Drosophila melanogaster: one gene and its partners. The protein of the gene in region 2 interacts with the protein of the main gene of each other region in a pairwise test. Each region holds a gene or a part of one and is shown on either strand. Other genes may lie near its edges.

Region 1 (7,878 bases), on a different chromosome or scaffold from region 2:
GAGTTTTCGGAATTTGATAGTTGGCTATATATTTATGTGATTTGGTTTTTATGTTGTTTTAGGTTTTTGGTTTTTTGGTAGAGAGCCGTCAACCGAACCGGTGCCGCCGGACTGCGAACGTCGAGTGAACGCGCGCGTCGCCAATGCGATGAAACGCAGCTTCGCTGCTGAGCAGAGAAGCAGAGGAGCAGAGCAGCAGAGAAATGCTGAGAAGCGGCGAAGTGGGAAAAAAGCCAGAGAAACAGAGTGAAAAGCTAGGGAAGCAGCAGCGAAATACAAAAAACAAAAAAAAAACAAAATAAAAGCCAAACTTGAAACCGAAAGCCTGAAAGCTCACTCGTCCCGTCTTGCTCTTCCCCACTCTCTCTCACTCTCTTTCTCCGCATTCGCTTGATTTTTTTGCGCATTCCGCCTGTTTACTTTCTTTCGTGCCGCCTGGCAAAGTTCGCCGACGTCGACGTCGCTGCCGCCACGCTTGGCGGGAGCTGCGCTGCCGATGCCGACGTCATGCGGAAGCAGATTTTCCGCTGCCCACGAAAGCAGCAGCTTTGTTTTGAGTCAGTCACAAAAAAGCTTTGCGCTCTTCTAATTGAGTGATATTTTCTAAGCTCGAGTTGGATATTTTTGAAAAGAAGATCAAAATAACTTTTGAGTTTTAAGGTTTTTTTTTCTTCATTCTAATATCCCCTTTAGATAATGATTGTTAGTAAATGAAACAAGACAAAAGCTTACCATTAACAGTTTTAGCAAACCACAAAATTACTTGTACTCACAAAAAAGTCGATAATATTGAGTTTCGATGCTTACCTGTAAATAAAAGAGAGTGAAAATTGAATTAGAACAATGTTTTTTCAACAATAAGGAAAAAAAAAGCAAAATTGCATTTTTATAATAGTACGTAGATATTTGGTATTGTCAAGGGTGTCGGAAATTTCCCATGCATGGGGTAAAGGGGTGACCACCCACAGAGCCAACTGACATTTATCCATTTTAGCTTTCCCCACTCTTCCCACACATTAAAACGAAATTCATACAAATTATTATACATGCTGCCTTAAAAGGTAATTTTCGGTATATTCAATAGCGAAATTTGCACCAACCCCAGCGAAATACAACAAACAATCTAGAGGGAGAGATGATAGAACACCCACATCTCATTTGCCATATGCATTTCCATATCGTCAGCCATAAAAATCTCATCAGCCTAATTCCGAAATCTAATCAAACCAAATGTATTTCCCCAACGTTGACCAACTGAGGTCAGTTAAAAAAAAAAGGAAAACGGAAAAACCCATGAAAATTGGTGGCAGCTAAGCCGCGATTTTTGAAAGGATTTGTGCCAAATGCATTGACAAAGTAGATCAAAAAAGGTGAAAGGATGTGCCAAAAAAAACACACACACAAAACTGGTTGAATTGAAACCCTTTTAGGCCAGCCAACTAAATGCCAGCCATGTGGATCGTTTTCATGATTATTAAATGGAAAATTTAACGGCATATAAAGTAATTTTCCAGTTCTAATTGCCATGCATAATGAGAATTCCTATGGGCCAGCTACTAAGAGAGTCATCAACTGATAAGATATAGGTGTTTTTGTAAACAATACTCTGCTATATACCAACTAAATTTAGTTAATTCACTGGCAACGCAATTTGGCGTAGGTCGAAAAATAAGTAATATAATTGTTTATCTATAACACGAAGAAAATTGGTGAAAATAATGAAATAACCCTTGTGGTAGGCAGCGAGCCAATATACTTGGCGATTCCTCGTTGCAAAGATACATTTGCAAATGTATCTACATTTTGAATTCCATTTCCTATTCAATTCGAACCGTCGGCGACGTCAGTGAGTATTGTATATACGGGCTACATTACTATATGCATATAAACTATACTATATAGTTCAGCTGAGCTCACGTGTGCGCGGCAAGCTTTCTTGACTTTTGCGCTTTACAAGCTCGCAATGCGCAAAGTTCTCGGCCGCTGACGTCGGATGATATCAGTCCCAGTGGCCGGGATGCAGATAGAGGTTCTACAGACATATCGCACTGGGTTACCATGCACATACATACATATGTATGTAAGAGTATATATATCCAGACTTCCCAACGGAACGAACACTCATTTTCTAATGCAGCCTGGGCGAATATAGAATGGAAATCCTCAGAACTAGTCATACACTTTATCAGTTGTTTTTGGTTTTTCTCCCTTTAAGTGTGCTTTTTGTGTTCTCAAAACAATTTAGTTATTCAGAGTACTGTATACAACTAATGTTTAAGACAACCAAGAAAAGTTGAAGTATCTAAGCGGTAGAAAGATATATACATAAGTTTATATATATATACGAATGCACAGTACAGCTGTTAAGTAGCACTTTTCCATTTTTCTATAGTTAACAAACCATTTAAGGTCATTACTATATATCCAATATATATTTTCCAACAATTTCCCCCCCTTTTTTCCTCAAGTTTTTCACCTCACCTGAGCTGGCTGGCTGAAATCGCGCTTTCAAGCTGTTCAAATGGTTGTGATGCTCATTGGCGATCACTGCCGCTGCGACGGCATTTGCCACATGTTGCACGGAGGACACATTGTTGTTGCTGTTATTGTTGCTATTGCCACTATTGTTGCCGTTATTGTTGTTGTTATTCTGGCCGGGATTTCCACCATTTCCATTACCAGTTGCCGCCACAACAGCATTACCATTGCCACTGGCATTCCCATTCGATCCCTGGTTGCCACTTGCAACTGCAGCGGCTGCCGCAACAGCGGCAGCATTGCAACTGGCAGCAGCAGCTGCTGCAGCTGCAGCGGCATTACTCTGCGGATCCATGAAGGAGTTGCGCTGGTAATGGGGATTCTCCTGGTAAATCCTCTGGTACGTTAGCGTGGGCAGCGTCCACGAGTTGTTCGTCTTGTAGTGGAAGTTGCCGGTGCCGAAAATGGAGTGGGGGTTGGTGTTGCCACCGGTATTCCCGGCTGCAGCAGCAACGGCGGCCGATGACAGTGTATGTGCCAGCTGGGCGGCATGATGCTGCTGCTGCTGCTGCTGTGCGTGCTGCTGTTGCTGCTGCTGGTGGTGTTGCGGCGGCGGCTGCTGCTGCTGTTGTTGTTGTTGTTGCTGCTGGTGTGTATGATGCGGATGCAACGGGTGGCCGTGATGTTGCTGCTGATGCTGATGCTGGGAGTGCTGCTGTTGCTGCTGCTGCTGCTGCTGCAGGACATGCTGATGGTGCGCTTGATGGTGTTGCTGTAGGTGCTGTTGGTGTTGCTGCTGCTGTTGATGCTGCTGCTGTTGCTGATGGTGCAGGGCGGCGGTTTGTTGCTGCTGCTGCAAGGCCCAGGCATTCACGCCATTGTTGCTGGTGGCACCTGCCCCGCCGCCTCCTGTGGCGCTACTCTTGCCCGAATCATTGCTGCTAACACTGCTGCGATGGTTGTCCATGGTTCCCGATGATCCTGTCATGCTGCCATCATTTCCGCTGTCGCTGTTGCCGCTGCTGCTGTTGTTGCCGCTGCTGTTGTTGTTGTTGCTGCTGCTGCTGTTGCCACCGCTATTGCCCGCCGCTGCAGCAGCAACGTGCGAGTTAAGCTGCTGGAAATACTGCGACAATGTGGCATTCGCGTGCTCCTGGGCAAAGAAACTAGTACACGAATTCGTATCCGACGACATGATCACTGGTTTCAACAACTGGGTACGTTATTCACTGGGTTATCCTTCACTGGTTACGGTTAATCACTGTTTTCTGATGATCCTAGGTGATCACCTCCTTGTGCTGAACGTGATTAAATTTGCTGGTCAGCAGTATAAACTTTGGGCCACGGCCAAAAGTTGTGCGCATTGTCTTTACACTTGGGTTCACTTTAGTTTTTTTGTTTTTAACATAAACGCTTGTCTGTGTTATCTGAAAAAAATATTGTGCTTTTGTTTTTGAAAAACCCAGATTAGTGTTTGAGCACTTTGGTATGTTGCTGGTTTTTTATTTGCCAGTCAATTGATAGCCAATTCGTTGTTGCTAATGAACAGGTGATAGGTGGGTGAAAAATGTTGGGAATGATTCAGTTTTTCAGTTTTATTAGTGAGTATTGAGTATGATGGGGAAGCGATTTTGATAGCAACTGATAATGAATGCGCTTGTTTTCGTGTGGTCAGGGAATGCACTTTGTTTTCGTCTATTTTTGTATGATTTTTATTTAGTTTTCCATTAGTTTTTATTGATGATCATGATGATAAGGAATAAGAAAAGGCATTGTATAGTTGTATAGTTTGCGCTTTCTTTTAGTTCAATCAATTTTGTATAATAAGATTTTTGTGACGCTATAGAAATCTTAAAGTGGAATCAATAGGTACAAAGGCTTTCCGTGTTCTTTATGGAATTTTTGCAATCAAAACATTCACGGTCATTTATTGTTTTTGCTTCACTTTTAAAACGAGACAAACTAATAATTATTTGCCAATTAAACTGTATATCAAATCAACCGAGTCAAAGGCTTCCAATGTTTTTTTTTTTTTAACATTATTTCAACGTAAATTTGGAATATTTTCTATATATAAATCAAAACAAATAAATTATTATTTTCCAAATCAATTGAATTATCCTTTTCATTGATGAATAACTCTTCTTCCTTTCAGCCTTTTGTTGAATACCTTTTCTTATTCTCAGAATTTGTTGCTGCGCTTGGATATGAGATCGTTTTTTGCTTTGAGTTTTGCTGGTTCGTATTTTTCTTTTTGAAGTTTGTTGTTTTGTAGAAAAATTAAAAGTAAATTAAACTGTTTGAAATTAGATCCGTAACTTTAGCGCTGTTGTTTAAAGATTCTCGAGAGATCTCCGGATCTCTCGCTTTTTTCTCTATCTCTCTCTTTCACTCTGCCTCGTTCGATCTCTCTCTCTCTTTCTGCGTATTTATTTCTTTTTTAATAATAGTAATTATTCGAATGACACACACACACACACTTTAGATTGATTTCACAATGAACCCATTGCACTTGAAATTTGATAAAACAAAAATGACTTCCTCGATTTATAGTTCTTCTAGAACTATTTCTGTTGCTTGAAAAATCAATTTCAATTAATTTATTTTGTTGAGCGTAGAAATATTTTTTGATTTTCCCGCTCGAGTGGCGAAAACACGGAACGAGCTGCGACGATTTTCACATGAGAACGCGATGCGACAGAATGCCGGCCGAGTAATTTTCTCGGTCTCAATGTCCGTCTCTGCTTTTCCTCTGCCGCCGCTGCAGTCGTCGCTGCAGTCGACGTCGCAGTCGCCGCTACCGCTCTCTCAGCCAGCTAAAAATTGCAATTTTCTGCAAGTAAGTCGGCTTACGTAAAGGGCGGAGGTCCGAAAACAGTAACCCCTCTCCTACTTTGATAATTGTTTAACTGGCTTTTTTTTATCAAATGTTGGTAGCGCAAAATATTTGTACATGTACAACAAATATTTTTACATACAGCACTGGGAAAATGATTAGCATTACTACTATATTAATCAATTCAAGTGCCATAGGTATTTTTAGTACAGTTCTTGGTATATATTAAACAGTGTTCATATACGAGTACTTCGACTCAGATTTAGTATCAAATCTATTATAAATTATAATTCACTTAGGACTAAACCTATGTTATCTTCTTATATCTAATTATCTATCAAGAACTTAATAATATTTTTTTTTAAAGCAACTTTGTTTTATCTCAGTTATTTCAACATTACTTATAATATTCTAGTAACAAAATTTATTATTTTAAAACATTTTTTTCTTGCTCTTAAATGATTGCTATTATCTTGGACATAGCTGTAGTTATTTGTATATACTTGGGGGACTGGAACTGCGACGCCCGCTGAGGCGCTGAGCGCTGCTGCGGCCAAGTCACGCGGATTTCAATATGACCCAAAGCCCACTGTCTAGCACAGTTCTAAGCACGTGTTGCGGACACACCGGGCACACACACATACGCAAATTAATTGAGAGAGAGCGACAGAGAGAATGAGAGTGCACGTTGAACGACAAGCGCACTCAAAGATACACGTACCGATAGGGTGACAAATAGAGATACGAATGCAACTCAAAAGTTTCCAGTCGATTCGCAATAGAGCGCTATGTCTGTCCCCCTGTAACGGGTGTACCTATGGCCACTAGACTTTACACATCAGCTGGAGTGCGTGGCCGATTGGCCAATTGCCGTGCCAATATTCGGTTAATTCGGCACTGGTGCGTCTGCAACACGTGACGTATGCGTAATGTGCTCCAAAGGATTGCCTCTGTGCCACCAACTAATTACCGCTGCGTCATTCCCAGTAAGTAGATCCGATGGGGCAGAGTGGTGGGGGGGGGGGGTCTGAAGCTGAGTGCTTAACACTCTGGGCGAAAACCCAATGAAACGACGTAGTAGCTGCAACGGAGCGTATACTTAATCTGCATTCTATCGAAGGCGCTAAACTATTGCCGTAGGTCGCCGTTTTTCTTGGAAATTTCAAAAAGTATTCAAACTATTCGAGGGCTTAATCAAGTTTAAATAATTATAATAATTGCTCTCTGTTGGCATAGGTCCGGTAAATTTTCTTAGAAGTTTTGTATAATACACTCAATACTTACCCAATGATCATCGAAGATTTTATAACTATGAATCAGAGCAGTAAGCAATTTGAGATAAAATATAAAAACACATTTCTGATAAAAATGCAAATAAACTGAATTACAATTACATGGATTATTTAAGAAATATATAAATAAAGAAATATATAAAATAAATAAAATATATAAGACTTATTCAATTTGTAAGGTTCCATCTTTCGTTAAACCAATTCAAAAGAATTCCAAGAATATCCTCGCCATTTTTCTACTTGTTAAACTTGTTAAGTCGCCCACCTTTTTTCAGCCTTGTGCTATTCTTCGGTTAAACAAAACTCTTTTTTTTTTGCATTTGAGAAACCCAGTCAGCCCTGAAAACCCATCAATTGGCATAACCATGGACCATGTGGTAGAGCGAACTTCAGTCACCTGTTTTACCCAGGCGGGTCAATTCTGGGAATATCGAGTATACGCCCCGTGCAGCCAGTGACTATTTTTGGAAAGCAACAAGTCATCCGAAGCTCCGAAGCGAAGGAAAAAACGAAGTTTGCTTCGGGATCCAATAACAGAAGGATGTGCGGCAGAGCTTTGCTATTGGCCAGGCTTATATGCCAGTGAAGCCGAGAATAGGGAACCAATCCGGGAAAATCTGCCAACGTCGACATGGACAGAGAACGACGTCGACCGCGACGACAGCAGAGGCAGCGACAGCGGCGTTGTCAGGTTTTCTGTTTGTTTTGTTGTCAGTTGTTGTATTTCGTATTATCACGTTTCGCTACCACGTGCACCGGCGGTCTCCCCTTGCCAGTGTGTGTATCTGTGTGATTGGGCTACTGCCTCACACACACTTGGTACAATCAAAAACACACACCGACACACACCAGTGCAGCGCACTCACATAGATACGCCGTGGCGCTACGATGGATGAATGAGCCCTCAGAGAGCGCCAGAAATTGCTAAGCAAAACCCAACTGAGTCGAAGACACAGCTCTTGCTGGTTTATAAATAGCAATTTAAAGCATCGCACACACATTCACACATCGAATCAATGAGTCACACACACACTAGCATGGCTTTATTTTGCATCCGAAGAACAAAAAATACAAGTAGGAGAAGCAAAACACAGACTGCATAGATGTGCAAATAAAGCAAATTGTGCAGAATAAATATCGGAAGCGGAGCAGCAATCGGAAAGTAAACAAAATAATTGTTGCTCTTTTTTCAGGAAAAAAAAATATTTTTTTTATAGATATATATAATTCATTCTTGGTACTTGAAAATACCTAAATTTTTTTTGAATTTTT
Region 2 (8,043 bases):
ATAAAGCATATAACTGTGGACGGCAGTTCACATAGGGGCGTCTACTATTGTGGACAACGGTCCTGTAGTAATGAAAGTCCTATACTAAAAGAAATCTTAAACGTATCGAAAGGTATCGCAAAAACTAATAGGACTTTTAAAAAATTAAATGGTTCAACGGAAAAAAATTTGTGAAGATTTAACAGTTGAAAGTACCAGCTAATGTGATATTATTAAACAAAAAAAATTTAAAAACCTTTTAATATTTAAATTTTTGCCCGACCAAGCTATTGAAACTAGAGGACTGTGCTGTGTCGGCAATAATAAGTTTTTTTTCGACTATCTGATCAAAGGTTTGACGAGATAAAAAACTAGCAAATGCGATGAAACAAAAGAAAAATCATACAATGCGTATTTTTAAGAACACGTTTTTCTGTGGGTAATTAATTTCCACTAGATTAAAATTGTCTAAATTGTTACTTTCCCACTTTCTCAGCATCATCTTATGAAACATATGTTCTACCTATTGATAGGTGTACCGTTCTGAAAGGACACCAACATTATATATATACCCGTTATTAGGACCAATAGCCGAATCGATCTGGTCCTGTGCGTCTGTCCGTCCGTATGAACGTCGAGATTCATAATGCAACACACGCCCTAAATTTCCACGACCACATTTTTGAAAAATTGTTGGATATTGTTTTCATAATTTTATTAATCTGGTAAATTTCTATCGATTTGCCAAACCACTTTTTGCAACGCCCAATCTAACGCCCTAAAGCCGCCCATAAGTGCCGCGACTACATTTTTAAAAATTTTTGGATATTTTTCATAAGTTTATTAGTCAAAAAACCACCCCAAATTGACACGCCCACACTTTTGAAGAATGTTTAGATTTTTCTTCGTTTTATGGTTTGTCTTGCCAGTATTATGGTATATCAAAAACCCCTTCTCAGATCTACAAAACGATCATGCGAAACATTTAAGCAATTTTGAAATTTGTTCCTTAGTTTATTCCCCAATATCTATCGATATCGTAGAAAAATGATGCAATTTTGATTTCGCATTCCCACTGGCACTTGTCCCGAATTGGACTTAAATATGTATATGTAAATATGAATGTTGTGTATTAAAAATCATGGAATTAGAAGAGAAACAAAACTTTAAATTTTATTAAAATGGGTAGCCGCTTCAAAAAAAAAAAAAAAAAACAGCAAAAAGTAAAATAAACAAGAGAGAATGCTATAGTCTAGTTCCCCAAATATCAGATACCCGTTACTCAGGTAGTGATTCGAACGCCAAATTTCAAAATTTTTCTGGGATATCGATAGATATTGGGGAATAAAATGAGAATACATTTAAAAATTGTTCTAAAGACTGGCAGCTTTATGGCGTTGAGTGGTGGTGGCAAAAAGTTTTTTTGGAAAATCGATAGAAATTTAAAATTATGAAATAATATCCAACAATTTTTCAAAAATGTGTGCGTGCCAGTTTTGTGCGGTTTTAGGGCGTTAGAATAGGCGTGGTAAAAAGTTTTGTTGTAAATGGATAGAAATGTACAAGACTAATTAAAAAATGAAAAAATTATTCAAAAATGTGGGCGTGGCAGTTTTGGGCGGTTTAGGGCGTTAGAGTGGGCGTGGAAAACAATTTTTTTCCAAATCGTTAGAAATTTACAAGACTAATAAAAATGTGAAAAAATATGATCACGTTTTTCAAAAGTGTGGGCGTGACAGTTTTCAGCTAGTGTTAGAGTGGGCGTGGCAACATGGCTAAACAAAGTTGCGGTTTTAACTTGGCTAAACTTCTAGATTTTATAGGGTTCCTGAGATCTCGACGTTCAGGCGGACATGGCTAGATTGACCCAGCTATAGATCCTGATCAAGTCGGAAACGCCCGTTGCATACTTTTCAACTAATCTAGTATCTAGAATCGTAGAGTAGAAGCGTATAACAATTACGTTGTTCTCTCTTTTAATATGTTATTTAGACAAAAAAAGCGTTTGGAAATGTCTTTCCATCGAAACTTAACACCATCAAAACAACCGGCGGGCGTGCAAAATGAAGCATGTTATAAATTTAAATTTATATTTTTCCTCGTGTATATTGTAGTCGCTAAAGCGCATCCAGGAGAACGCACACTCTCCTAGAGCACTTAGTCACTTAGTGAAAAACAACAATGAAATCACATGGTCGTGAAAAATGTAAGGAAATCCGAATTCGTAGTTATTAACAATACGCGTATATATATGGATCATACAAACAACTACCGTAGCTGTTTTATAGTGACTAAAAACCATCATTATAACAAACAAATTTAAAATTTAAAACTGTATAACACTTTTTTTAAACAAATCCTTTTCGTTCTTTAAAAAAAAACAAAAAACAATAGCTTCACAATTCAGATTTTTAGTTGATAAGGTCTCAGATAATAATATGTTGTAAGCAAATTGCATTTCATTTTGCAAAATTAATTCATTCTGATATTGCTTTGGCAATACTTTAATATTTTCTCTATGATTGCGCTGTCGTTTGCAGAAATGGGAGAAGTAACAGAAAGAGGGGTATAAAGGGTGGCAGAGGAGCGATTGAGGCAATGTGGGGCCAAAGTAACCTGAGCAGCGACGTCACGTCTCAACATGTGCCGCGATTATGGGACCGAAGCGGTCCAAGCTTTTTCGTTTGCTGGATTTTCGTTGGCCAGTTGAGCGTTATCACGCTCGAAACGCGTGAACAAGCGGGAAACAACATTTCATAAATCTTCAGGGCCCCGGTGTTCGGTTGTGGTCTCGAGTACGAGTCTTCAACTCACCTGTAGGCCAGATTCATGCACTTGAAGAGTTTGGTGAGCGAGGTCTCTATCTCCAGGTGGGAGGTCACCATGCTCATGCTGCTCTCGTCGCCCTCCTGGTCCATGGCGCTGAAGTGGGCCACTGTTTGGGGTACGTAAAGCTGCACGTCACGACATGTGTTGGTTGGCTCGCCCGGCTTGCCCAGACCGGGGTCCTCAGGGTCTAGCATCTTCACCTCGCCGTCATCCTCTAGGTCGTCCTGCGCCTCCTCTGCCTCGAAGTGCGAGACCATAAACTGGCCGGAGTGGATAGACTCCCGCTCCGCCTTGAGCAGGTCTGCCGTAGCCTCGGCGGACCCTGACGCCGAAGCACCTACTCCCGTTTCGTACTGCAATTGCTGGAAGTTTTGGCACAGAGACTGTTGCAGATAAGGCTGCTGGTGCAGCTGAGGCAGCTGGTGCTGCTGGTGGGGAAACATTTGGCTTGTGCGTTGGTATCCCTCGTGTTTATTCAGCATCATTTTCAACAGGTGCCAGGGGATGCCTATGCAAATAGTTTACTGTTGAGCCAAAATTTTGGCGGTTGCAGATTATGTCGATATGGCGAGGGCACATTTAATGGTTTTTTAATGTCTCTCGCGTAGTAAAGGCTTTTAAAAGCTGGTGCTGACCCTTTTTTAATTTGGATGGGGTTTTTCCATCATTTCAAAATATGTAAACGTTCGCAGACTATAAAAAAAAATATGTTTTGTCTTGCCTCGTGGTTAACACATTTATTAATTCTCTCATCTAGTGTTTGTCCTTGTCATTCTATTAACTAAATTACTAAAATAAGCGATTATTTGATAGAGACATAGCACGGTTTTAAGATTTTGATTTGTTTACAATGCCCGACACCTTCAGCTTTTCGTCATCGACACCTGTCCAATTGTTGCTTTTTCCGGAGCGAAGCTTCTCTAATGGCAAACACGCCCCGCTTTTGCCGTTATATGCGTCACACAGCACAATAACAACAATTTTCGCACACACACACACACACACAATCGCGGCGGGGTTGGCTGGGGATACGGACGTCAGAACGAGACGTCAGTGGCCGCTTGTAGCTCCTTGAACAGATAGTGAAGCCCCAACTACTCGTAAACACACGCGGATCTGATGGAAGGCCAACAAGGCGGGCAGAACCAGCGCAGAACGATCGGTTTCATTCCACAAACAGAACTGATCGGAGAACGAAGCTGCGAAACGCACATAACCTGTGCGCCGCACACAACACAACAATGAACAGCTGACGCGAAATCTCTCTCTCTCCCTACCTCGCTAGCGTTGCTTATCAGCTAGGAAAACGTACATACATATGTATATGTATGTATGTACGTGTTCTTCTATATGCGCAGATGTCAGGCAGCAATGTTGTCCCCCTCTCCACTATTACTATATGGAGCTCAGTCGATTTGACTCCTGGCATTCGGCCTTGCCATCCAGAGTATGCACTCCACAAGCAGTTCTGTGTTTGCACTTTTGACCTCTGGCTCAGCGCTGCCTTTGCATTTTGCCTTTTTCCGTTCCCACTCATATACACGCGCATGCACGCGCACCACAATTTCGGTACAACTGCAACTGCCCCCTATAGCAGAAACACGGGCAGTTAGCAGGCACGACGGACTACCAATACCACGCACACACGCGCAACACAAAGCTTCTACGTAGTTTAATCACAATATAGCACACATTAACCTATTGCGGGTAGCGAGCCCTCACCATCCCATCAGGGTTGTCAAGCATTTGGTGGCTCTGATAAACAGCACCCTCTTCCTAAAAATGGCTGAAAGCTGCGAGCCGAAAAACGCAAGAATGAGCATAATCACCCCAAACGTAAAGATTGGGAAGGGCAGCATACGAGGTCATATGTTTCCTGCTCCGAAATTGCAATACAATGAATTTAGGACGGCTATTTCCCGTAATTAGTTTCCAGTTTTATGGAATTGCTATTATATCTTTTTCCGACAGCACCTTGAAACCGCATCAATAAAAAGTTAATGCGTTGAGACTAATAGGAAAAACTAGAATATATACATATATTATACTCAAATGTAATGTGTTTTTTAAACATTGTTGTGCTTAAGTAATTAGGAAAAATTATGTAAAATGGATATTTTCCCTTTATGTTCACTATATTGTTTAAGTTAGAGAATAGAATACCCAGAATAAAATTAGTGATCACACATCAAAAAACTATCGATAAACATTGAATTAGTTCCGGTTAAAATTTAATAATAAGTATTCAAACTGCACACCTTGTTACAAAGTAGTGTAACTGCCTAATTCTTTATCAGCAGACTAGAGGATTTCGCACTCCCATGTTCTTTTGCTTAAATACCTTTCTCGGGCTTATATTAGACATTATACTTTCAGAGAATTTTTTCATTTGTACTGTTAGAAGGTTCTTAATGAAATTGCTGTTCAGTTCAAAATTTTTATATAGTCATTTAATAATACTTTACGAATGATTTTGTGCGCTTTAGATTTGTGAGAAAAAGGGGTGGGATTATTTAGTAGAAAGTAGCAAGGCATTTCCCGATCTGGTAACACTGATTCCAACACTCATTACCGTTCCAAATGAAACGCAAAAAGGTTCAATTGTTATTTTCTCTCACGATTTCGGCATTTATATTAACCTAAAGATGGCTCTATAGTTTGCGCGCAAGCAAAAACAAGCAGCACCTAGGTGCCCAAACACAACAAAATGGAAACGTATAAAAATCAAAAGTGAGTATACACCAAGCTAAATTCTCGCTAATTTCGCAATTTATCACGCACACTGCCGCACTTGGCGTTCTACTCATTCATTGTTGCTGCACGTGTGTTGGTGGCATTGCCTTGTATGGATTTTCAATTGACCGGGCGAACGTGGCAAATCAAAACTCAGTGGGGCATGCCACCTGGTAAAGGTAAAGAAATTGGCTGACGCAATCGCCGACTGGAGTTGAGTAATGTGCGTTGCAAGTCGCCTGCACGTGCGAAAATGAGATGACTCACCACAGTAAGGACTACCCCAAGCGGACACAGCCCAGGACAGAGCTGTTTAAACCGGCTGCGCGATTGCAGCTCTACCCTTGCATTCTATATTTACCTAAAATGTTAAAACATAATTACTATATTACTAAGCTAGAGGGGAGAAAGAAGTTTTCAAAAAGAAAATTAAAATCAAAATTTGCGTGCTTAATCTCAACTTTTTTGGTGGTGGACACGGCAATATTGACTCTTGGTAATAAAATGTTAAAAATACATTTATCTTTCATAGTTTTCAATGAATGTAGTCTACCCTTAGATTAATTTGAATATAAGAGGTACAGTAAAATGATTAAAAGTGTTTTTAAAAGGGTAGCGACTATTCATTATCACTATGACTCGTGATAAGTCATTAAACAGCTGTGGGCTGAACAGCGAACCAATTAATCATAATTAATTCGTTTCTTTAATTCTCAGCGCCATCATGGCATTTTCACAACAACAAAACACACCGCGAAAACAACCATTCTCATTCTTCGGACCGGATTTCATACTCTCAAAACAAAACATATCTTTGACCCCTGATTTGAACTCTGGATATGGACGCGACATTTCACCAAACCATGGAGAGCTTGCAGTTGCCCAAGGAGCTGTACTGGGACCTCAAGATGGAGCCACAATCCCCAACATCGGTTTTGGGCTCCGATCTGTTTCCGCTCACTGACTCAAACGATACGGAGTGGCTGTATGACGATAACTTTGCAAATGGTTTGTGGTGCCTAAAAGTTTTTTTGAAAGGATTTTTAAGGATTTTAATTTAAGGCATTACTCTTATTGGCGATGATGAAGCCTTGACCCTGGAAGAGGTAGCTTCTCTCCAGTTGCTTAGTGATGAGGAGATGGTTGTGGAGATCTTTGACCTGAAAGATGAAGGTAGGTATATTTTAGTGTGCTTACTTTTTTGTACATAATAATAATGTAAAATAATAAATGTTCTTGTAACTGTAGCTGAGCGCAAAATGTAGATAAACCCATTTGCGAGGAGGTCTTAAACCCATAAGAACGACCTCTTAGAGTTCTTATTAAAGCACCCAAATGTTTGCTAGTCTTACATTTTTCAAAGTCCAAAATAACTTTATTTATAACTTGAAGCTCATAATATTAAAGCAAAGACCGTTACTATGATTACTATGATAAGATAATTGGTAGTTATGCCTGATACTCGTAGATCAATGGGAAACTAGGCTCATTGAAATCTAATAAATAAAAGTAAGCTTTTCCGACTCTATTCAATTACTAGCCGAGTCGATTTGGCCATGTCCGAGTGATAATCAAAATCTCAGGAACAACAAGAGCTAGAAAGTTGATATTAAGCAAGCATACTCACGACCAATTATTTGAAAAAGGGATTACATTTCTATTGATATTCCAAAAATATTTGAGAACCTTAAATTGTCCGGATCTTTATATTAGAAGTTTTTAATAAATTGAGTTTTCAATTAGATACAAATATCTTAAATAAATACACCTATGGCAAATCAGTAAAAATGAAATATTTAGATATTTGCAGGAGCTTTGAACGTCTGCAAAATTCCCGCAAAAAAGATCTTTATATAAATATTAAAACTCAACTTTTGTTGTATAGAGCTCTTTCTTAATAATTAGTGTAGATCAAGTGGATTTCATTGTCTGAGTCATTAGGGTCTCGCACATCGCATTTGAACCTAAAATTCCGACAGGTAAAGTTGAGGAACCGGTTTCAAGTTTGCTTTGTTTTCGTTAGCGTATGTTTCTGGTATTTTGGCCCTCTTTAGCTTGAGCATGAGCGTGTTTTTGTATTATGGTTTTCACCGTGCATTTTATTATTGTTTATCAACGGAGCGCCAAGCAAGCGCTGTAATGGCCAATTTCCAGGCCACAACAAAGACTCAGATCAAGCGAGAGCAATGAAATCAGTTTTTGATCGGTTTTTTGCGTACTTGATCACGCGTTAAGCGAGTGATCGGCTGGACTCTCTCTTCTCTCTGTAGCAATCTCTCTCGACTCATTGCTGACGTTCGGGTAATACATTAAGAATTCAATAGATAACAGCTGGGTTGTATGATTTTAAAGGTAGGAACTCGATCCATTCTCTGGTGGTTATGACTCTGCCCCTTTTGAAAGCTTAATCTTATAGTGTATGTTTTGTTAGTGAAATATATTAAGTATCTGCGATCAATGAACCATTTGACATTATGACCATCATAATTTTGGTATGTATTT
Region 3 (6,775 bases), on a different chromosome or scaffold from region 2:
TCGCAGAACCGAGCCCAAATCCCAGGATGTGTACCTGCGCCTGCTGGTCAAGGTGAGGCTTTCGATGGCGTTGACTACCAGCTGAATGTGGAGATTAATCTGTTTTTTTTTCTTTGTTTGCCCCCGCAGCTGTACCGCTTCCTTCAGCGCCGCACCAACAAGAAGTTCAACCGCATCATCCTGAAGCGTTTGTTCATGAGCAAGATCAACAGGCCGCCGCTATCGCTTCAGCGCATCGCTCGCTTCTTCAAGGCCGCCAACCAGCCGGAGTCTACCATCGTGGTCGTCGGCACCGTCACCGACGATGCCCGCCTCCTGGTGGTGCCCAAGCTCACCGTGTGCGCCCTGCACGTCACGCAGACCGCCAGGGAGCGCATCCTGAAGGCCGGCGGTGAGGTCCTGACCTTCGATCAACTGGCTCTCCGATCGCCCACCGGCAAGAACACGCTGCTGCTGCAGGGCAGGCGTACCGCCCGCACCGCCTGCAAGCACTTCGGCAAGGCTCCCGGTGTGCCCCACTCGCACACCCGCCCCTATGTCCGCTCTAAGGGACGCAAGTTCGAGCGTGCTCGTGGTCGTCGCTCCAGCTGCGGCTACAAGAAGTAAGCGACTGGCTGACTGGACTGGATTCGGCATCCTTTTGGTTAAGATAATGATTTTTCTCGCCATCGCACGGCAATAAAAGAGTTTTATTCCAAAAGGTGAAAAAGAAAGTCCTTAATCTGTGCGGTAATCGGTTGTACTAGTGAAGGTGTGTGCTCCAGTAGTTAATAATCGGCTGATCGTGCGGCTGCACGCCAAGCACCTTCTTAAGTTTGCCCTGCACGCTGGTGGATTTGGCATGGTTGAGGCAGGTCACTTTGCTGTAGATGGAATTCAATTGAGTTCGGATCTGTGCAGCAAAATAGGACGGCTACTCACTTTTTCCACTCTTCGATGAGCACCTTGGTCTGCTTGTTCAGCACGAGTTCTGTGAAGTTTTTCTCCTCCACCGCCTTTAAAAGTTTCACCATAAGATCTGGCACTAAAGTGGGAGAATCAATAGAATCAATATCAATATCCCCGACTCGTTTTTATCAGTGAAAGCGGGAACGGATTGGATGTGAAGCTTACATTTTCGTGGCAGCTCTCCTGGCCATTTGACCGACACCTCGTGTCCGTTGACGTGTTTGTCCAGAAAATCGATCCGATAAACGGAGCTACTGGCCATTGGCACGGCTATGTCATTGGACACGGATATGATTTTGTACTCGGAGCTGATGGAGTGTTGATGTTGGGCATCGATTCGCATTAGATTGTGCATGGGCTCGGGCAGGAGTTTCTTCAGGCAGACCATGAAACGGAAGGTCTTTCTGGGATCACCTCTGACCACAATCTTCACCCCAGTCAAGGCACAATAGCAGACCGTGGCAAACTCCTCCTTGCGGACGACACTCTTGAGATGGCGCAACGAGAAGAACTCCTCCAGATCGGGATCGTCGATGCTCTCTATCATTGGCAGTGTGGAACTGTTGTAGGTGAGTCGCTGTGCGGGAGGACGGCCACTACTTTGTGGCGGTAGCCACGGTAGGTTGCCGAAGGTCACGTGCTCGGTGAGGAAGCGGGATCCGGCTAGCAGGAGCCACGAGAAGTGTGAGTGCAACTGGGCGAAGATGTGCTCCTCGCCTGTTAGCTCCAGCAAGGCACGGGAAGTGGGCATCAGGAACTGAGCGCCGGACAGACGCCTCTGTCGCTCTGAGTACGTCTGCTCCTCCGTCTCCTTGGTCTTTTTGGCAGCTGCCTGCAGCTCCGACGACACCTTCTTCAGGTGCTCCGCCAGAAAGGGCTTGATGTTAAGCAGGAAATACTTGTCCTTCATCAGCACAATGATGGAGAACAGCTGCGAGTAGCCGCGGGCCTGCAGGTCGCTCACTCGGAAGGTGTGACTCAGGATGTGACCCCTGGACGAATCGCCAAAGAACACGAACTCGCCATCCTTGCTGGCATCCGTACCATTGCTCAGACTGAGCACCGCCGCCTGCTTGACCAGACTGGCCACCTCCGGCAGCACCGCCACCTTGGTGCTGACGAATGTGGCCCCGCTTTCCGTGTCCCTGCTGTAGATCGCATTGTTATTCTTGCCCATGGAGTAATTGCAGGCGGAGCAGGTCTTTTGCGTCTGCTGTTCCAGTGACAGGTCCTCCAGCTTGGTGTCCCTCAGTGTCTGGGTGCAGAAGATGGCGCAGGGACCGTGCGCCTCGCAAAAGTGGCACAGCGCTATCACGGCGTTCATCGCTGCTCTACAGTTTCCTTTATATCCTTGGTTATGTTATTGTTTATTTTGTTAGTTAATAATACTAGAGTGACCAGTTGCGTACATTCACTGAAATACCAGAAATGGCGGTAAGAACATAGAAAACATTGCAGGGATTTCTTAAGCGATATTTTAAATTTTGCGGGAATATACATTTTATTCTTGTTTTGTATATGTAAAATATAAATACTAAACTATAAATCAATGTGCTATGACGACATAATATTAAATAAATACACATGACAATAAATTCCTTATGTTAATAGAAGTTCAAATTAAGAAAGAATTTTTGAATTGTGTTTTTAAGATATGTAGAAATGTATCTGTAATTATTTACCCAATTAATTATGCAGAACGAAAATGTAAAGCAGATCTGGATGTCTTTATAACCCAATTTGGATGCTAATTGCTTGAGTCCATAATGCTTTAATTTTCAGCATCACAAATGGGTATCGATTCCAGTGAGTTTCATTCTCGAAAGTTATTGTGCCACCTACAGACGTTTTTCCACACAATGCAACTGGTTTCTTGGATATATTTATTGGCCTGTTCATTACCTGTGGTTAGGAGTGCGTATATGTTAGTAGCTGCTCCAGTTGGCCAAAATATTACGGAGTATATGCATGCGCGCCAGAAGAGGCATCAGTTGATCTACCGGAATGGAGGAACCATCCGTTTGGTAGTGGGTCCCGTGCTGTCCACTCAGCTCGAGGATCCCGTGGTCTGGCGCAGTTTGGTCTACTACTATGTGCTGCATTTCGGGGCATTTACCCTGCCATCGGCACCACTATATCCCTGGGACAAATGGGAGACGATATATGCGCGTTCGTTGCAGGAGAAGATCAGGAGCTTGGATGAGACGCACGAGGACGACACTCGCCTGTTCGTATATGCCGCCTTGGAGAACTATATGGACCAAGTGAGTGGATCTCCTGGTCGAGGTCGTCACTGTTTGCTGCGAGGGATCTGTGAAAATGCGCAGGTGCATCACCATGTGGGCATCATGGCGGAGCTACTAGTCGTTCTACTCACGTAAGTTGCAGTTTTAGAATGCTATTACTTGAATGGAAGAATTATAAATCTATATAAACTTAATAGACCTGGTAAAACGCGCTTGGATGTGGCCTACAAGGAGGCTTTAGCAGCTGGCCAGGCTGGAATCGATTGCCTAGCTCGCTATTCGGATTGTCCAAGGGGTGAAAGTGTGCTGGATGCATATGCTCTGGATGTGGAGTATTGAAAAGGGTTTTTTTTTAAACTGATGTTACGACTTGAATAAATCAAGTTAATTCAATGATTACCACTGATAGTGCTTTTCAGTAAGATCAACTGGAATCACTGTCAACTTTCGAGTATATCTGCTCACATGAACAATCTAGTTACTCCGTTGAATTTTTAACACTAATTGCAAGTGATTTGCGCCCTTGTCGTCGCCACGCCCCCTTTAACTCCACCGACTGGAGGATGTCGCCTTTGGTAAACCAGAAACACGAGTGCATCCATGCCAACATCCTACCCCAGAATCTAGGCGAAAAATGCGTTAACATTAATGGCTTGTGGCTGGTGCAAGTTGGGCTTGGAAAGCGGTGCAGCGAAAGCCAACACACGACCGCCATTTTGTCAACAATGGCGTCAATTAAATGGAAAATGCGGCACCACCAACAGCCGCCGCGCGGCAAGAACGCCGGCAGCAGCAACGAAAGACAATAAATGCGTCTTAAGTGGCACATTAGGCTCGCAGACGGTGCCAAGCGGATGGAATGGGCTTTCCAACAGGGTGCAGCAGATACTATTTTAGTCAGAGATTTCCCTAGAATAACTAACTAATTTTGAATCGTTGAATTCAAAGAAATAAATAAAAGTATATTAAGTTATATTTTTACTTTGTCTACTTCGATAGTATGTTAAATATTACTTTTTTATTCCTATCACATAAAAATATAATTTCCATTCTAGTATAAATATATATAAAAATATAAATTTAGCTTCAAATATATTTTAATGAATGTTCTCTATTGTGACGAATGAAATGATATAAATATTTGTATATATAGGTGGAATAAAGTAAATCTGTGAATCGTATTTGTACATTATAAATTCATATCTTCGTTTATTTTATTTGTCTTATCAATTATTAATTTTACTATTATTCATTTATGCACCCTGTTCAGAATCCTCAGCTGCGCCTCGTGTGCACAGCTAATTCAAATGCGATTATGACAACGCGAACAACGAAGGAGCTAAGCGGCGTAGAAGGCGAGGGGAGTGCGGTGAAAGCGGAGAAAGTGGGGCGAAGGAACCTGCCAGAGTGCAGTTGGCGCAGCAAAGAAGTGGGGGGGGAGGAAGGTAGGGGAAGGGGGCGGTGGCTTGGGGGGAATGCCTGCACAACTTTGCGGTGTTTGAACTTGTGATGGTGCAGTGGAATAGGTAACTAATGTCTGCGGCTGTCATGTTTATGCGGCAGCCATATCGTAAATTCAAAAATATCAACTAAATATTAAGAAAACAAAGCGGGAAAATAATTTAAAGTAAGCTTAAATAACTACAAAATGATCGAGTTAGTTACATAGCTTTCGAGAAATGTTCTTACGGTGCGTATGATTAATATTATTATATATTTCTATTATTTGTTATTTTTTTTATAGGTGAAATTATTCAGTTATATAATTTTAGTTTTCCATTTTCGTGTTAGCAATAATATTATCTTTTATTTATATTTAATTCCAACACTTTAAATGGCCCACAATGCGTTGTTTTTAGAGCAAGACACCCGCATAAACGCTTCAGCATGGTGGGTTGCCTGCATCGATGTGCACACATGCTCATCCTGGAGCCGAGTCAACACAGTTTCCTGCCCCCTCAGACATGCTTCCGTGCATTTCCGCCCCAAATTATGCAGCAAGAACAAGCGGAATCCGACATCAGGACAAGAACCATTAGACATGCACTTTGATTTGGTTGAAAACTTTATTGCGGATCCCCATTCTCTTCCGTACTCGACAGCAATCCGCAGCAGTAGCTGTAGCAGGAGCAGCAGTAAATCAATCATCTTCCACAATCAAAAGCCCGTCGAGGAAGTTGTGTCCCCGAGGACAGGCACTGTACAGGCCCAAGCAATTGGCTCCAGCTCTTCCCGCGGCGTAGGCATCATGGTAGTCATTGTCCAGATCCGCTTTGCCGGGACTAAAATGATTGGCAGATTAAAGTAGCATTTATGGGGATTCGTGTAAGTGTTTGAAAATGAATGAGAAATGATGAGGGAGCACTTAATATTTATCGTATTCCTTAAACTTGAAGACTCTTTTCTTTTACCTGAGTACAATATCCATAATTTCCGAGAACACACCGATATGATGATGGATCTGAGCATTCTCGCATATGGAGCGCAGCAGACATTGTCTGCCCATGGAGCGGTCATTGTTCCTCCTGCCCATATACTCCTCCAGTGCAGTGTAGACCAAGAGCCTGGCATCGTCCGCATATCGCACTCCGCCATTGGCCACATGGCGCTCAATATTCCTTCGCATTTGCATCAAGGAACGAGCGAAGGTGCCTTCCCACTTATCCCACGGCCAGATGGGTGATGTGGGCAGGGAATAGGAACCACCTTGGAGCGTGTAGGAGAGCACACAGGAACGGAAGGTCACCTTGTCCCCCAAGGGTATGGGCATCGAGGGACCAATACTAAACTTCAAAGACCCACTATTCTGGTAGATCAGCCAGCGCTTCTGTCGATGTCCCATGAATTCCGTGAGATTTCGGGATGAATCTCCCCGAGATGGCAGGCTGAGCATGGCCACCGCCAAGAGCAGACCCGTTGTCCACTTCATGCTCCCAACGACTACTAACTAGCTGCAGGTGTAGGCGTCACGGACTTAACTCGTTCTGAAGTGAGCCATCAACGCAAGATGACAAGTGGAAATTTCGGAGGCACAAACATTTGGCCAGGCAATTAGCATTATGAATTTGTCAAGAACTGGATTACACTGACCCAAAAAGGTGCATGTATGCATAAATATTCAAAGTATACTAACAAGTATATGATTTACAAATTATTTTTTTGATTTAAAAGTAAAAACATATTTAATAAATTGAATAGAATGTCAATATATAAAACAAATATCTATCACTAGGCCAAGTTGATTTTAGGCATGCAGAACACATTATTTTTCAATGTGTTCCCAATCCGTTTTGGTTTTCTATTTGCACACGTGAGTGGAAAACTGAGTGGACAACAGCCACCTAATTGGATTCGGCCCAACTAGAGTGACCCAAAACGTGGGGCAGATCGAGATGAAAGGTCACAGAAATATGGTGAAAGACCCACTTAGAAGACCATTAAAATACGGAAAATCTCAGCACACAATCAGCTGGCAGAGCGATGAAACGAAAAATGTTTTGCAAATTATTTATACAAATACGGGAAGTAGCACCAACTGTCTGGGCGACCGCCTCAAGGCGAAGATAATATCCTTTTTCGGG

The links. The genes of interacting proteins can lie anywhere in the genome.
Region 1: the proteins of Mondo (region 2) and Pdp1 interact in a two-hybrid assay, tested with the Drosophila melanogaster proteins (one large-scale study listed by BioGRID).
Region 3: the proteins of Mondo (region 2) and CG14829 interact in a two-hybrid assay, tested with the Drosophila melanogaster proteins (one large-scale study listed by BioGRID).

Annotation. Positions count from the first base shown.
Region 1 is NT_037436.4:7,827,906-7,835,783, forward strand, and holds the start of Pdp1 (PAR-domain protein 1), read right to left. Parts: upstream 5,169-7,878; 5' UTR 4,649-5,168; intron 3,923-4,648; 5' UTR 3,674-3,922; coding exon 2,482-3,673; intron 114-2,481; exon of another isoform or gene 1-113.
Region 2 is NT_033779.5:21,305,495-21,313,537, forward strand, and holds the start of Mondo (mondo), read right to left. Parts: upstream 4,557-8,043; 5' UTR 4,445-4,556; exon of another isoform or gene 3,445-4,444; 5' UTR 3,294-3,444; coding exon 2,794-3,293; intron 1-2,793. Other genes in the region: crc (cryptocephal), read left to right, coding at 6,381-6,549, 6,604-6,714.
Region 3 is NT_037436.4:7,234,132-7,240,906, reverse strand, and holds CG14829 (uncharacterized protein), read left to right. Parts: upstream 1-2,784; 5' UTR 2,785-2,807; coding exon 2,808-3,325; intron 3,326-3,391; coding exon 3,392-3,533; 3' UTR 3,534-4,107; downstream 4,108-6,775. Other genes in the region: RpL18 (ribosomal protein L18), read left to right, coding at 1-52, 130-606; BHD (Birt-Hogg-Dube), read right to left, coding at 743-863, 922-1,024, 1,114-2,272; CG14826 (uncharacterized protein), read right to left, coding at 5,335-5,476, 5,606-6,123.